Macaca mulatta: one gene and its partner. Each later gene encodes a partner of the first gene's protein in a complex. Links are inferred from orthologs where the notes say so. Each region holds a gene or a part of one and is shown in the gene's direction. Other genes may lie near its edges.

The links.
Region 2: CAPZB (region 1) and CAPZA3 share a complex: the UniProt entries of both Homo sapiens proteins name them as parts of the WASH complex. The link is inferred for Macaca mulatta from reciprocal best matches to the Homo sapiens genes CAPZB and CAPZA3.

What each region holds. Positions count from the first base shown.
Region 1 is NC_133406.1:221,612,414-221,619,711, forward strand, and holds part of CAPZB (F-actin-capping protein subunit beta), read left to right. Parts: intron 1-5,554; coding exon 5,555-5,696; intron 5,697-6,672; coding exon 6,673-6,789; intron 6,790-7,298. UniProt on the Homo sapiens protein: F-actin-capping proteins bind in a Ca(2+)-independent manner to the fast growing ends of actin filaments (barbed end) thereby blocking the exchange of subunits at these ends.
Region 2 is NC_133416.1:21,193,664-21,201,573, forward strand, and holds CAPZA3 (F-actin-capping protein subunit alpha-3), read left to right. Parts: upstream 1-3,782; 5' UTR 3,783-3,898; coding exon of another isoform or gene 3,899-4,022; 5' UTR 4,023-5,055; coding exon of another isoform or gene 5,056-5,066; 5' UTR 5,067-5,966; coding exon 5,967-6,866; 3' UTR 6,867-6,886; downstream 6,887-7,910. Other genes in the region: PLCZ1 (1-phosphatidylinositol 4,5-bisphosphate phosphodiesterase zeta-1), read right to left, coding at 3,899-4,022, 5,056-5,066. UniProt on the Homo sapiens protein: F-actin-capping proteins bind in a Ca(2+)-independent manner to the fast growing ends of actin filaments (barbed end) thereby blocking the exchange of subunits at these ends.

The sequences.
Region 1 (7,298 bases):
TGTCTAAGCAGACTTCTCCGCAGTCTTTGCAAGCTAGTCCCTGTGTTGTCCTGGCCACTGGGGAGCCCTGATTTGAGCGTGTTGTTCAGCCTCTTGACTGTGGGTATTGATTTCAGCCCTGTGCTCCCTGTGCTGCCTGGCTTTCCATTTAGGAAAGAAGCCTAGGAAAAGCCCATGCTTTTCTCTTTGGGCCTTCACGGTTTGTTTTTTTCTTTCTTTTTTCTTTTTTTATAGAGGCTGACCTCGAACTCCTGGGCTCAAGCAGTCCTCCCACCACGGCCTCCCAAAGTGCTAGGATTACAGATGTGAGCCACTGTGCCTGGTCCTAGGCCTGCATGTTGAAAAGAGGTTCTTGACCAGGCGCGATGGCTCACGCCTATATAATCCCAACACTTAAGTGGAGACCGAGGCTGGTGGATCACTTGAGGCCAGGAGTTAGAGACCAGCCTGGGCAACATGGTGAGATCCCATCTCTACTAAAAATACAATAATTAGACCGGGCGCGGTGGCTCATGCTTGTAATTCCAGCACTTTGGGAGGCCGAGGTGGGCAGATCACCTGAGGTCAGGAGTTCGAGACCAGCCTCAACATGGAGAAACCCCGTCTCTACTAAAAATACAAAATTAGCCAGGCGTGATGGTGCATGCCTGTAATCTCAGCTACTTGGGAGGCTGAGGCAGGAGAATTGCTTGAACCTGGGAGGCAGAGGTTATAGTGAGCCAAGATCGTGCCGTTGCACTTCAGCCTAGGCAACAAGAGCAAAACTCTGTCTCAAAAAAAAAAAAAAAAAAAAAAAAAAAAAGGCAATTATCCAGGCGTGGTGGCAGACCCCTGGAATCCCTGCTACTTGGGAGGCTAAAGCAGGAGAATCACTTGAACCCGGGAGGTGGAAGTGACAGTGAGCTGAGGTCATGCCACTGCACTCCAGCCTAGGCGACAGAGCGAGACTTTGTCTCAAAAAAATAAAATAAAAAGCTCTCCTTCTGCCTCCTTGACCAGAGACCTCACTGCAGGGACTCTCTGGGCTTTTCCTCTTGAGCCCAAATCAGCTGAGCTGTGGTAGTGAGTCCTGGGCCCATTCCTCCCTCCCTGCAGAGTTGGGGGATTTTGAAATTATCAGGCATGGGCAGGGGCCAAGGCAGGGCGGGTGAATTCCTCTGCAGCCTGCTCTTAGCGCTTGGCCACATTTGATCATTCACTCACATGGATGTGCGAGGCCTGAGAGTGAGTCGCAGGCGATGGTAGAGCCACTTTATTGAAATAGCATGTTAGCATTTAAACAATATTAATACTTTTTGACTCATTAAATATACAAAGGCCAGTTAAAGTGCTTCCATGTGTGTGCTGTTAGTTCTGGCGGGCGACTCCTCAGATGGCTTTATGTGGTTTCAGACAACGTTTTAGCACATTCTTAAAATACCCACAAAAGCCTTTATGTAAAAACTCATAAATGCAAACCACATAAAAATTATTTTTTTCCTTGTTTCATGTCATTATGATCAAAGTACAGTAGGTAAGAAATAAATTTTCAAAAACATGTTGTGGTCCCTCCTTAATTAATGCTTCACGCGCAGAGCAGAGCCATAAACCAAGTAGTGGGGGCGCTGCCTGTGCGCCCTGCGGTCATCTCCCTCCTGAAGGTCCCGGAGCCATCCCGACAGCACTCACAGGAGAGGCCGGTGCTTCTGGGCGATTCTGAAACAAGCGTTTCTAACCGTGCAGTCCTCTGCTCCCTTTGTCTCGGAATGTCAGGTTGAGACTTGTGGCTGCTCCAGTCCCTGGTGATCCCTTTTGGTGAATGGAATGCAAGCCCATTCTTGAATTATTGTAGTGTCTGAGCTGTACCTGCAGAGGCCAGGTCTCAGCACGTCTGACTCACCTCAGCTGGAACATCCCGATTCAGAGAGGGAACAGATTCAAAGCGAGAGACCAACCACGCCGCCTCTAACTCTGTCGTCGTCGTTTCTTTATTAAAAGTCAGATCGACGGTAAATTAGGATACTATCCGACTGAATACTATCCTTGCTGTTAAAAATGATTATGGAGATCATGTGGCTCCATGGAAAAATGCTAATGATTCTGTGCCAAATGTAAAAAGCCGAATTCAGCGTGGTGCTCTTGCTGTGCTTACGGTTATATAAAAATGCATCTGGACTGGAAGGGAATTTGGAAAAATCAGATTTATGGGATAAGTTGATTTATGGTATTGTGGGCTAATTTTCAGATTTCCTTTTTAAAAAAACAATGATGTTCCTGCAGTAAGTTTTAAAATTGTGGGTAAAAGAATAGTAACCCCGCAAGGAGGTCACAATTGAGCTTGCATTTTTACCTCCCCTGGCTCCAGCATTTGAAACTTTAGATCTGGTCACTGTGGCCTGCCAAGGAGAAGCTGCCTGTAGTGGGAGCCAGGCCACAGGGTGGGACGTTGGAGTGGAAACGGCCAGTTCCACCCTATAAAACTTTAATGCGGTTGTTTTATTTTTCTGGAAGAAATGGAACGCTCAGGGATGGGACTGAGGGGAAGCAGCCGTGGGCCACCTGGTGCTTTTGAACTGGTCGCCGGAGGGTGTCGACAGTGTCAGGCCATCGGGATTTCTCCTGGTTCCCCTCCAGGGCAGCCTGACCTGCCTCTCCCCAGTGTCCCAGCACACAGAGGAGAGCAAGCCTTGGGCGGGCACAGCACCGCAGCTCTGTGTGGATCTGTGAAGGAGCGGAAGGATGAAATGCCCCTGGGCTGCAAGCCTTCTTTCCAGAATGGCCAAAGGAAAGAAGGAATTATTGGCCCATCCTTTTTGCCAGCAAAGTAGGGTTTTTTTGTTTGTTTTTCTTCCCCCTCTTTTGATGTGGGGCTGCTCTCCCTATAAGCTGGCTGAAAGAGAAAACCGTGTGCTAGAACCAAGCCATCTGTCGCCAACAGGAAGGGTATTAGCAGGTCTGTTCTGAGTTGCTCTTCTCTCGGTAGTGTTCGTGTGCCTCGTAAGTTAACCTGCAAGAATCCAGGAGAATAAGCCAGAAAGGCTCACGGAGCCCATGCTGCCAGTCATCTGAGCCCTGCTAAACCTCAGGTCTAGCAGGGGCAGTCAGTCCCTCTCCAGGTGTTCCGGGAACATTCCAGAATGGCCTGATCTCTCCAACTCTGTATGGGGCCGGTCCAGACCAGGAGGGCCCTATGGAGGCAGATGGGGCCTTGGGCCCTGGACCAAAACACTCATCTGCTTAGCTCGCCTTGCCCCAAGAAGGGAGAGTTTGGAGACAGACTGGAATAAAGGAAATGATCTTCTGGAGTGGGGTCTCTGAGTGCCAGTATTGGCCGGTGTCCTGGACATCACCTCTGCCAGCAGTGAGCGCTGAGCCCCACAGGTGTGTCTGTTCATCCAGTGGTCCTTTTCCTCTAGAAGGAAAGGATGCCTGTGCTACACCTTGCCAGAGCCAGGCCCTTCCCCACCCTGTGCAGTTTGACCAGTGATGAGCTCAGCATCTGGCACCTGACACATCCATCCCACAGGTGTTCCCTGAGTGGCACTTGTGTTAGCCAGGCAGCCCTGCCCTCATATGCCCTCCTGCAGACTCGCCTGTGGGCGCACCATGGTGTATTCGGTTTGATAGCTTAATCACAGTGGTTAGTGCCACAGAGGGCACGGGACAGAATGTGGTCCTGCCGCAGGGGCTGGCTGCAGCCTGCCTGAGGGAGCCCTCGGGGCGGGGCCAAGGGTAGCCCACCTGAGTATCAGCCCTCCTGGATGCTCCACAGGTCTGAGGGTTGGAGTGAGGGCAGACCAGCCAGGGCACCCTCATTCTCCTGGGAGGATGCTTTGCTTCCTTGGTCTGATGGTCTCTTAGTTACATTACACTCTGGTGTATTCGCGTACTGATTTTTCACAAAAGCTTTTTAGTCTGGAACAGTATGACTTACTGTCAAATTGCAAAAAAAAAAAAAAAAAAAAAATACAGAGAATTCTTGTATACCCATCACCCACATTCTGTAAATATTCACATTTACCGTCTGTATTTTTTATTATAGAATAGCTTTGGTGAGACATAATCTACAGATACATGTTAATTTCTAGTACTTAATTTTACATTAACCGTTTGGTAGGTGTCTACTTTTCCTAATTGTTTGTCTCTCAACAGCCATAGAAAGTAGATTAAGTCCCTAAAGTCCATGTTCACGCCACTGGTCCCTTAGTAAACAGTTGGACGCATGCATGCGTGAGCATAGCTCATAGCTGGGGCTGGGCGTGCTAGAGCTGTCATTGGGTCCGTCTGACTCCCAAGCCTGGGCCCACCTTCCCAGCTGTCTGGGGCTGAGGGCGGTGTGCTCCCAGAATACGCCTGTCGCACCAGGGCTTTGGGGCTTAATAGGGGTCAGAGAGGCCCCAGACTTCCTGATAAAGATGTGCTCACCATGAGAGATGCGATTGCTTACAGTTTCACTGGTTATCAGCAGAGATGAGATTTCTCTTTTTGGGGCTTAATTGGGGTCGGAGAGGCTACAGATTTCGCCACAAGAAATGAGATTTCGCTGGTTATCACCAGCATTTGCAGTTCCCATCAGCTGACTCCACCCCTCACCTCTGCTCACGGCAGCCCCAGCGAGCCACAGTAGTTGACCTGGGTCTGTTGGGTTTGGGATCCCAGACTGATTCCCATTTCTCATCTAACCTTTTCATTCCCTCTGCCATTTGATCGTAATTAGAAATCCCTCTTCCATTTGATCATAATTAGAAATGTTTCTGGGCCAGATGCAGTGGATCACTTGAGGTCAGGAGATCGAGACCAGCCTGGCCAACATGGCGAAACCCCATCTCTACTAAAAATACAGAAATTAGCCGGGCGCAGTGGTGCACACCTGTAATCCCAGCTACTCAGGAGGCTGAGGCAGGAGAATCGTTTGAACCTGGGAGGTGGAGGTTGCAGTGAGCCGAGATGGTGCCACTGCACTCTGGCCTGGGAGACAGTAAGACTTCATCTCAAAAAAAAAAAAAAAGAGAGAGAGATGTTTTTGTATGGACTCGGATTTGAGGAGGAAGCACTGTCTCAAGCTGAGCCCTTCATTTCCGGCTAGCGCTTTGTAGGAAGTTGCTCCGAAAGACCAGCTGGAGCCCTGGTCAGGAGGGATCAGCGTGTAGGGAGTTTGTTGCTGTATTTTCTCATCTGCCTTGTAACCCAAAAGACAGAAATATCGAACAACCGTGGTCACTCCAGTAGTCATAGCCTGCATGGATTGTCACTGGATGTCACTCGTGCTGCGTTCTTTATCTGGGAGGAATGTGACGCCTAGAGAGGTCCAGTAAACCAAAGACCACAAAGCTAAGGGAGGTGGCAGAGCCCAAACTCAAGTTCATCTTTATGATGCCTAAACCTACTACACCCCCAAAAATGCTGCACCCTCTCCCCGAGCCAGAGAACAATCAGAACACACCCAAGGATCGGCTCCTATAACTGTTGCAGGGAGGACCCTAAATCCCAGAATCTTTGCTGAGCAACAGCCTGGGACCCAGGCTGATTATCTGTCCTTTAGCATCTAACAGGCACATTGGCCTGTTTCCTGCAGGTATTTTGAAGGCGGCGTCTCATCTGTCTACCTCTGGGATCTGGATCATGGCTTTGCTGGAGTGATCCTCATAAAGAAGGCTGGAGATGGATCAAAGAAGATCAAAGGCTGCTGGGATTCCATCCACGTGGTAGAAGTGCAGGTACCGCCTCCCAGCAGCTGGTGGCCGGGGCCACTAAGTACAGAATCACACCAAACAGTGCCGCGCTGCTCTCTAGCAGATGCAGTGAGGGGGATGCTATGATCTCTGAACCCCTCATTCTGAGAAATGCCTCCAAGCCATTTGGATAAAGATAAGTCAAGATTGCAGTAGTCGCCAGGCGCGGTAGCTCAAGCCTGTAATCCCAGCACTTTGGGAGGCTGAGACGGGTGGATCACGAGGTCAGGAGATCGAGACCATCCTGGCTAACACAGTGAAACCCCGTCTCTACTAAAAAATACAAAAAACTAGCTGGACGAGGTGGCGGGCGCCTGTAGTCCCAGCTACTCGGGAGGCTGAGGCAGGAGAATGGCGTGAACCCGGGAGGCGGAGCTTGCAGTGAGCTGAGATCCGGCCACTGCACTCCAGCCTGGGCGACAGGGCGAGACTCCGTCTCAAAAAAAAAAAAGATTACAGTAGTCATTAATGATTAAGTTCTCAAAAGAAATACACAATTACAAATGTCCCTTTAAAAACCAGTTGGGATTTTATAAGAAAGATAACATTGTGAGGCCGGGTGCAGTGGCTCATGCCTGTAATCCCAGCAGTTTGGGAGGCTGAGGCAGGCAGATCACTGGAGGTCAGGAGTTTAAGATCAGCCTGGCCAACATGGTGAAACTCCACCTCTACCAAAAACACAAAGAAAATTAGCCAGGCTTAGTGGCAGGTGCCTGTAATCCTAGCTACTTGGGAGGCTGAGGCAGGAGAATCGCTTGAACCTGGGAGGTGGAGGCTGCAGTGAGTTGAGATCACACCACTGCACTCCAGCCTGGGTGACAGAGCAAGACTTTGTCTCCAATTAAAAAAAAGGTAATATTGTGATAATGACCTAGGAAGGGAGATGTTAGGATGACCCTGAATTCAAGGGGCCACTTCAGGCTCTCCCTCAGCTCAACAGATCTCTGTCTTGTCCTTCCAGGAGAAATCCAGCGGCCGCACTGCCCATTACAAGTTGACCTCCACGGTGATGCTGTGGCTGCAGACCAACAAATCCGGCTCTGGCACCATGAACCTCGGAGGCAGCCTTACCAGACAGGTAGAGTTACCCGCTCATAGCCAGTTGCCAGTGCCCACAGGTGCTGGCCTCAGCGCTGACCTGCAGAGATGAGTGAGCAGGTGCCCTAGGGTAAGCATGTTCAGCCAGCTATAAATCCACCACCTAAGGAGGGCTTTGCATTTTCAAATAAAAGCTCTCTGGGCTCTGCAAGGTTGCCCGTAGCTGCTGGCACTCTGCTGGCCTCCTGCTGAGGGAGGTCAGGTGCTGGCGTGGCTCCTCCTTACTCTTCAGGGCACCGCACATCCCCATGCTTCGGGTCATGGTGTGCAGTGAGAAGTGGTGCTTGGCTCTGTTTGCCTTCTCTGTGGCCATGCCCAGCCCATCAGTCAGGCCAGCTCTCTGGGAGCTGCTTACCTGAGCTCAGAGTGTCTGCACCTTGCTGCCCTCAGCCCAGTCCAAGGACCAGCATCAGCATCACCACAGAGCCTGTCAGAAAGGCAGAAATGTCAGACGCCCCCCCAGACCTAGCATATCAGGATCTCTATTTT
Region 2 (7,910 bases), on another chromosome or scaffold:
TTTTTGTAGAGACAAGGTTTCACCACGTTGTACAGACTGGTCTCAAACTCGTGAGGTCAGGCGATCTGCCCACCTCAGCTTCCCGAAGTGCTGGAATTACAGGCGTGAGCCACCACACCTGGACCCTCTTTATTACTTTTGTGTGTGATAAGAATACTCAATCTAAGATCTACCCTCTTACACTTTTAAATATGCAACACAGTGTTATTTATCACGGGTACAATGCTGTTCAGTAGCACACTGGGACAAACTATACGCTTTGACTAACACTCCCTTGTTTTCCCCTCCCTCAGCCCTGGTAACTATCATTCGACTCTCTCCTTCTATAAGTTTGACTGTTTTAGATTCCTCACATAAGTGGTGTCATGCACTATTTGTCCTTCTGTGTCTGGCTTATTTCCCTTAATATAATGTCTTCTAGTTTTATCCATGTTGTCACAAATAACAAGATATTCTTTAGTTTTTCAGGATAAGTAATATTTCATTGTATGTACGTACCATATTTTCTTTATTCATTCATAATGGACAGACTGCTTGCATATCTTGGCTATTGTAAAATAATGCTGCAATATATATGGGAGTACAAATATCTCTTGATTTCAATTCCTTTGGGTATATACCCAGAAATAGGATTGCTGGATTATATGGCAGTTCTATTTTTAATTTTTGTGGAACCTCCGTATTGTTTTCCACAGTGGTTGTACCAGTTTGCATTCACCCCAATAGTATATAAGAGTTCCCTTTTCTCGATATTCCTGCCAACACTTTTCTATTATACTTTTTATAATAATCATTCTAACAGGTATGAGGTGATATCTCATGTGGTTTGATTTGCATTTCCCTGATGATTAGTGATGTTGAGCACCTATTTATATACCTGTTGGCCATTTGTATAGCTTCTTTAGGGAAATGTCTATACAATCTCTTTGCACGTTTTCTAATCAGGTTACTTGGGGTTTTTATTCTATTGAGTTCTGGGATTCAATTTTGGATACTATTCCTTTATCAGATAGATATGTGGTTTGCAAATATTTTCTTTTATTCTGTAAATTGCTTTTACATTTTTGTTGATTATTTCTTTTGTTGTGCAATAGCCACTTTGTTTCATGTAATCCCACTTTTCTATTTTTAGACAAGTTTTTGTTACCTGTCTTTGTTACTATCCCTTTGGAGTCATATCTAAGAAATTCTTGCCAAGCCCAATGTCAAAAAGCTTTTTTCCTATTTTCTTCTATGAGTTTCATAGTTTCAGGTCTTAAGTTTAAGTCTTTAATGGACTTTGAGTTGATTTTTGAGTATGGGATAAGGTCAGAGTCCAATTTCATTTTTTACATGTAAATATCCAGTTTTCCCAGTGCCATTTATTGAAAAGACTACTCTTTTCCTCACTGCGTATTTTAGTACCTTTGCAGAAGATCAGTTGACTATATATAAAGGGGTTTATTTCTGGGCCCTCTATTATGTTCCTTTGGTCTATATATTTGTTTTTATGCCCCTACCATACTGCCTCAATTACTACAGTATTTTAAACAGATTTGGAAACCAAAAATTGTGATGCCTCCACCTTTATATTTCTTTTTTAAAGATTGGTTTTGGTTATTCAGGGTCTTTTTTGGTTCCAATAGGAATTTTAGGATTGTTTCTTCTGTTCCTATAAAAACAAAACAAAAATGTCATTGGGATTTTAGTAGGGATTACATTGAATCTGTAGATCACCTTGGGTAGTACGGATATATTAACATGGGATGTTTTTCTGTTTATTTGTAACTTTTAAAGTTTGTTTCATCAATGGTTTACAGTTTTGGCGTGCCAGTTTTTCACTTCCTTGGTTAAATTTATTCTTAAGCATTGTATATTTTTTAATGCTAATGTAAGTGAAAATGTTTTCTTGATTTCTTTTTGGATAGTTCAGAGTTAATGAATTTAAATGCAACAAATTTTTACATGCTAATTTTGTATCTTGCAACTTTACTGAATTTAATAGTTCTAGCAGTTGTTTTTGTTGTTGTTGTTGTTTTGTTTTTTTGTTTTGAGGACTCTCGCTCTGTCGCCCAGGCTGAAGTGCAGTGGCACGATCTCAGCTCACTGAAACCTCTGCCTCCCAGGTTCAAGTAATTCTCATGACTCAGCCTCCTGAGTAACTAGAATTACAGGCATGCACCACCAAGCCTGGCTAATTTTTGTATTTTTAGTAGAGATGGAGTTTCACCACATTGGCCAGGCTGGCCTTGAACTCCTGACCTCAGGTAATCCATCCACCTCAGCTTCCCAAGGTACTGTGATTACAGGCATGAGCCACAACACCTGGCCTTCTGGTTGTTTGTTGACAAAATCTTCAGAAGTTTCTACATGTAAGATTGTGCCATCAGTGAATAGAGATAATTTTGCTTTTGCCATTCTAGTGTAATTGCCTTTTATTTTCATTTCTTGACTAATTACTTTGGCTAGGATTTCCAGTACCATCTAGAGCAGAAGTGGTGAGAGTGGGCATCCTTGCCTTTTCCTAGATCTTAGAAAAAGTTTTTTCAGTTTATTTTATGTGATATTAGCTGTAGGCTTTTCATATATGGACTTTATTATGTTAAGTTCCTTTTATACTCAATTTATTGAGAGTTATCATGAAAGGGAGTTAAATTTTGTCAAATGCTTTTTCTATGTTTTTGAGATAATCATGTGATTTTTATACTCCATTGTGTTGAGGTGGTATATTACATTGATTGATTTCTGTATGTTGAGCCATCCTTGCATGCCAGGGACACATATTATTTGGTCATGGAATATGATCCTTTTAAAGTGCTATAAATTTGGTTTGCTATTATTTTGTCGGGCAATTTTGCATCTATGTTCATCAGCAATATTGGCCTAAAGTTTTGTTTTCTTGTGGTGTCTTTGTTCAGCTTTGGTATCAGGATGATGTTGACCTTATAAATAAAACTGGAAGTGTTCCCTTTTCAATTTTTTAGAAGCATTTCAGAAGGATTGGTATTAATTCTTCTTGAAATCTTTGGTAGAATTCACCTGTGAAGTCATTTGGTCCTGGACTTTTCTTCGTTGGGCAGTTTTTGATTACTAATTAAGTCTTCAAATAGGGTGTCACTATGTTACCCAGGCTGATCTCAAACTCCTAGCCCCAAGTGATCCTCCCACCTTGGCCTCTCAAAGCACTGGGATTACAGGCATGAATCACTGCACCCAGCCTCTCAATCTCCTTTTTGCTATTGGTCTCTTTAACCTTTCTAGTTCTTCTTGGTTCAATCTTGATGGGTTATATGTTTCTTCAAATTTCTCTTTTTTTCTAGATTGTTCAAATTTATGGTATATGATTGCTCATAACAGTCCCTATGTGTTTTTCATTTTTGTGAAATCTGTTGTAATGTCTCCACTTTCATTTCTGATTTTATTTATTTGAGTCCTCTCTCTTTTTGTCATACTCTTACTAAGTATTTGTCAATTTTATTTAACTTTTCAAAAAAACAAGTCTCAATTTCCTCAATTTCTTCTAATTTTTTTCTTTTCTATTTTAGTTATTTCTGTGCTAATCTGTATTATTTCCTCCCTTCTGCTAAATTTCGGCTTATTCACCACTGATTCTATAAATCACTAACATCTAATACAGTTACCGTTATTATTTAGATGTAGTTAGACATCCAATCCTAGGTTTAACGCTAGCATTTCTGTATTCTCAGGAAATTATTCTAAACTGATTTCCTGGTATTATTTCAGATTTTCTCAACAACTAATTTTACCTTCTACCGAAATGCTCTCCATCTTGATTGTAAATATAGTTAGTATAGTTAATTGTTTTTCTTCTTAAGAGACTAACCTTTATATGACATTTACTCACATTGGATTAAGTTCCTCCTAGGATAGGATAGGCAGGGGGTGGATATCATCTTACCTTAAATATCCGTTTCACATGAATATAACTGCACCGAATATCTAATTTTTCAAGTAACCTCTGAGTTTTTTCTAGATTAATTTTTCCACCTCTAAAGTCATCCTGAATCTTCGACAAAAACCATGTAGAAAGCACAAAAAGTTAAGGAAATTCTCATAGAAAGGCACTGAGTATTTAAAATTCCTAAAGAAACATTTGATTTACTGTACTTATTTTTATTTTTAAAGAATATGCTTAAAGTAAGTTATAGGATAATTGTATGATAAATAATATTTTTTTAAAAAAATTAAGTAGTTACTATGCTATAGTAAAGGTATGAAAGGGTATACCACAATAAAAATACAAAAAAAGAATTAAAGTTAAAATTTGAGAATTAAAGTCATTACTTAGAAAATACATTAAAACATTATTACAATCTATTGCTTGAAGGCATGAAGTTGGGAGGCAACCAGACTTCAAGATCATCTCTCACCTGATCTCTCTGTTTTAGTTCTCTAATCCAGAAAGGTGATCATATTAACCCTGAATCTTAAGGAAGGTGGAAGCATTAGATGAATTCCTAATATGTCACTGAACACGGTTTCTGCTACTTAGTGTTCAATAAATAGTAACCATGACTGATAAAGTTATTATTACTACATTAGTCAAATACCCAGCTATACACACACTCAAGACAGTAACATTTTAAGTACCATCAAAAAGCATCAAAAATACCATGGTAAGTGTATATTTGGTATGAAAGAGAAAACAAAAAAAAAATTTTTAAAGCTTACTTATCATAGATAAACTACAAAAGTTAGGACACTTCCATTTGAAAAACTAAGATCGAAATGAGATAATGACAATTATCACCAAAATTATAAAAGATATAGGTAAAAATTGTGCAAAACTACTCAGTTTCAGATTGTTAAAATGTATTGAGATCTCCTTAAATTTAATAGTTATGACTTAATTGAATAAATAAAGCTCATTTTCTTGTAAGAAAAAGATACCAGAATGTAAGGAAAGTTAGAAAAGCTCAGAACAGACATCGAACAAGCAGTTCAGCTTAAATGAAGAGGATTTAAATTCAGAACTCTTCGAAAAGAGTAACAGCATCAAGTAAAGAGGATAATCAGGAGAAAGAAGAGGGGCAGAAAGAAGCTCTCAATGGATATTTCATTTCCATAGTTTCATGACCTGTAGAGCCGTTTCTCCTCACTTAGAAGTCTTTCCCCAATAGGTGCTGTTACGGGTTCCAAATACAATTAACTCTGCCCCTTTGCAGAAAATAATTTCTTGATACTCCTCAGCTGTTACCACTTTTCTAGGGAGAAAGCAGAGAACACACAGTGGTTTGTCGCCTTTGTTCTTTGAAGCTAGCTCACACTTCACCGTAGAAACAGTAAGCAAGATGTAGTACCTGCACTACCCTGCCCTTGAAACTGTTTGGCTTCTTACATTCTGACCATCTCAAAACCCACAATATTTGAAAATGCAGCTTTCCCTGATGTCTGGCATTTTTCCATGAACTGCCATTGTATCTCATTTTATTTTTTACTATTTTGTTTAAACCCCTCGAAGCTTTCATCACAATGTAATGTGCTTCCAGTGGGTTTGGGTGGCTGCTCTGAGAGCCTGAGTATAAATCAACACCATTGTGATTCCTGAAGTTGCAAAGTGCTGTCACTCTTGAAACTTTGGGCTGCTTCTCTAGATCCCTGACAACATATAATGCACACAGAGACACACCACTTTCGAAGAAGACTGTTCAGGAGGCTAAGTTCTTAAAATCTTCAAAATAGGTATAGCTGGTTGGCTGGGCACCACACTGTCAGGTGACTGTCATTTTTTCCTTTTGGTCTGAATACCCATTGTGATATCATCAGAGGTTCCACACTTCACAAGGAAAGCTTCTTATGACCTCATCAGGAGGCTCAGACCTTCCTAGACTGCCTGCTTTCATGGGTAGACACAATAACCTTCAGCTTCAATGTTAACACCTTGATGGGAAAGGTGTCTCATGGAATGTTTTCTTATCCTTTGAACACTCTTCATTTCAGAAGCTTTGCTTCTGTTGCAACCAAACATGACACTTAGCGTGCTCAGCAGGAAGGACAAGGAAAGAGTAATTCGCAGACTGTTATTACAGGCACCTCCAGGGGAATTTGTAAATGCCTTTGATGATCTCTGTCTGCTTATCCGTGATGAAAAACTTATGCACCATCAAGGTGAGTGTGCAGGCCACCAACACTGCCAAAAATATTCTGTACCACTCTGCATCGATGGAAATCCAGTACTCTTGTCTCACCACAATGTAATGGGCGACTACCGATTTTTTGACCATCAAAGCAAACTTTCTTTCAGATATGACCTGCTTCAAAATCAGCTGAAAGACATCCAAAGTCACGGTATCATTCGGAATGAGACAGAATATCTGAGAGTTGTTGTTCTGTGCGCCTTAAAACTGTATGTGAATGACCACTATCCAAAAGGAAATTGCAACGTGCTGAGGAAAACTGTCAAAAGTAAGGAGTACTTGATAGCTTGTATTGAAGATCACAACTATGAAACAGGAGAGTGCTGGAATGGACTTTGGAAATCTAAATGGATTTTCCAAGTTAACCCATTTCTAACCCAAGTAACAGGAAGAATATTTGTGCAAGCTCACTTCTTCAGGTGTGTCAACCTTCATATTGAAATATCCAAGGACCTGAAAGAAAGCTTGGAAATAGTTAACCAAGCTCAACTGGCTCTAAGTTTTGCAAGGCTTGTGGAAGAGCAAGAGAACAAATTTCAAGCTGCAGTCTTGGAAGAATTACAGGAGTTATCCAATGAAGCCCTGAGAAAAATTCTACGAAGGGATCTTCCAGTGACCCGCACTCTTATTGACTGGCAGAGGATACTCTCTGACTTGAATCTGGTGATGTATCCTAAATTAGGATATGTCATTTATTCAAGAAGTGTGTTGTGCAACTGGATAATATAAAGAATTGCTCCTGGTAACTATCTTGATTTGACTCGTTTGTGTTTCTGGGGAATGGTTATTTTCCTAAAATTGAGCAATCTGTGGAGATGTCTCTCACTTACCCAATGCAAATTTAAATGGGAAAAGTGTAACAAGTAATTTTACTCGGGGAATATTGATGAATAATGCAAGAAAGTGTAAAGTAACTGTGTTTCATGGTGGTGACCATCATAAAGACCAAGACATTTGTTAGAAACTAAAATAGTTTTATAGAATATGGGATTCCAGAAATAATAGAGAGGTGGCCAGGGTTAAGGCTGTGTGTGTGTATGTGTGTGTGTGTGTGTGTGTATGTGTGTGTGTGAGAGAGAGAGAGAGAAAGAGAGAGAGAGACTTTTGACTTTGTTTTGAACTGAAAAGGTATACAAATGAATATCACTCCACAAATGATATTTTACATAACTCAATTCAGTACTGGACCATCCACGAGAGGGTGAATTTCAATAAATGACATTAGGTTTGGATTTTCCACGAAACCAACAGATATCAAAAATCTAGCTCACATGAAGGACTATTAGTAATTTTGGATCCTCTTCCACTCTACTTCCTTCCCCTCAAGAATTGGGGTAACTCAAAATCCCTGGCTTGTCTGACAACTAACATGGTCTTCCAAGCCAACTAGAAAAACCTGACTTCCCAAACTTTTACAGCTAAGCTCTTGTGAAGTCGTCACTGTAAACACTTATAAGTACTTACTGCATAACATGGCTTGTGCTAAATATTTTGCATAACATTTTTCATCACTAATCTGGTACTAGTATTATCTCCATTGTACCTAAGAAAAACCTAAGTTCTCAAGTTGTTTACATCTTCCAGACACATAGTATCACAGTTCATTTGTGCTGCTATAACAAAATGCCATACATTGAGTCACTTATAAATAACAGGAATTTATTGCTCACAGTTATGGAGGCTGCAAAGCCCGAGACCAAGGTGCTAGCAGATTCAGTGCCTAGTAAAGGCGTGTTTCCTTATAGATAGGATTTTCTAACTGTGACCTTACAT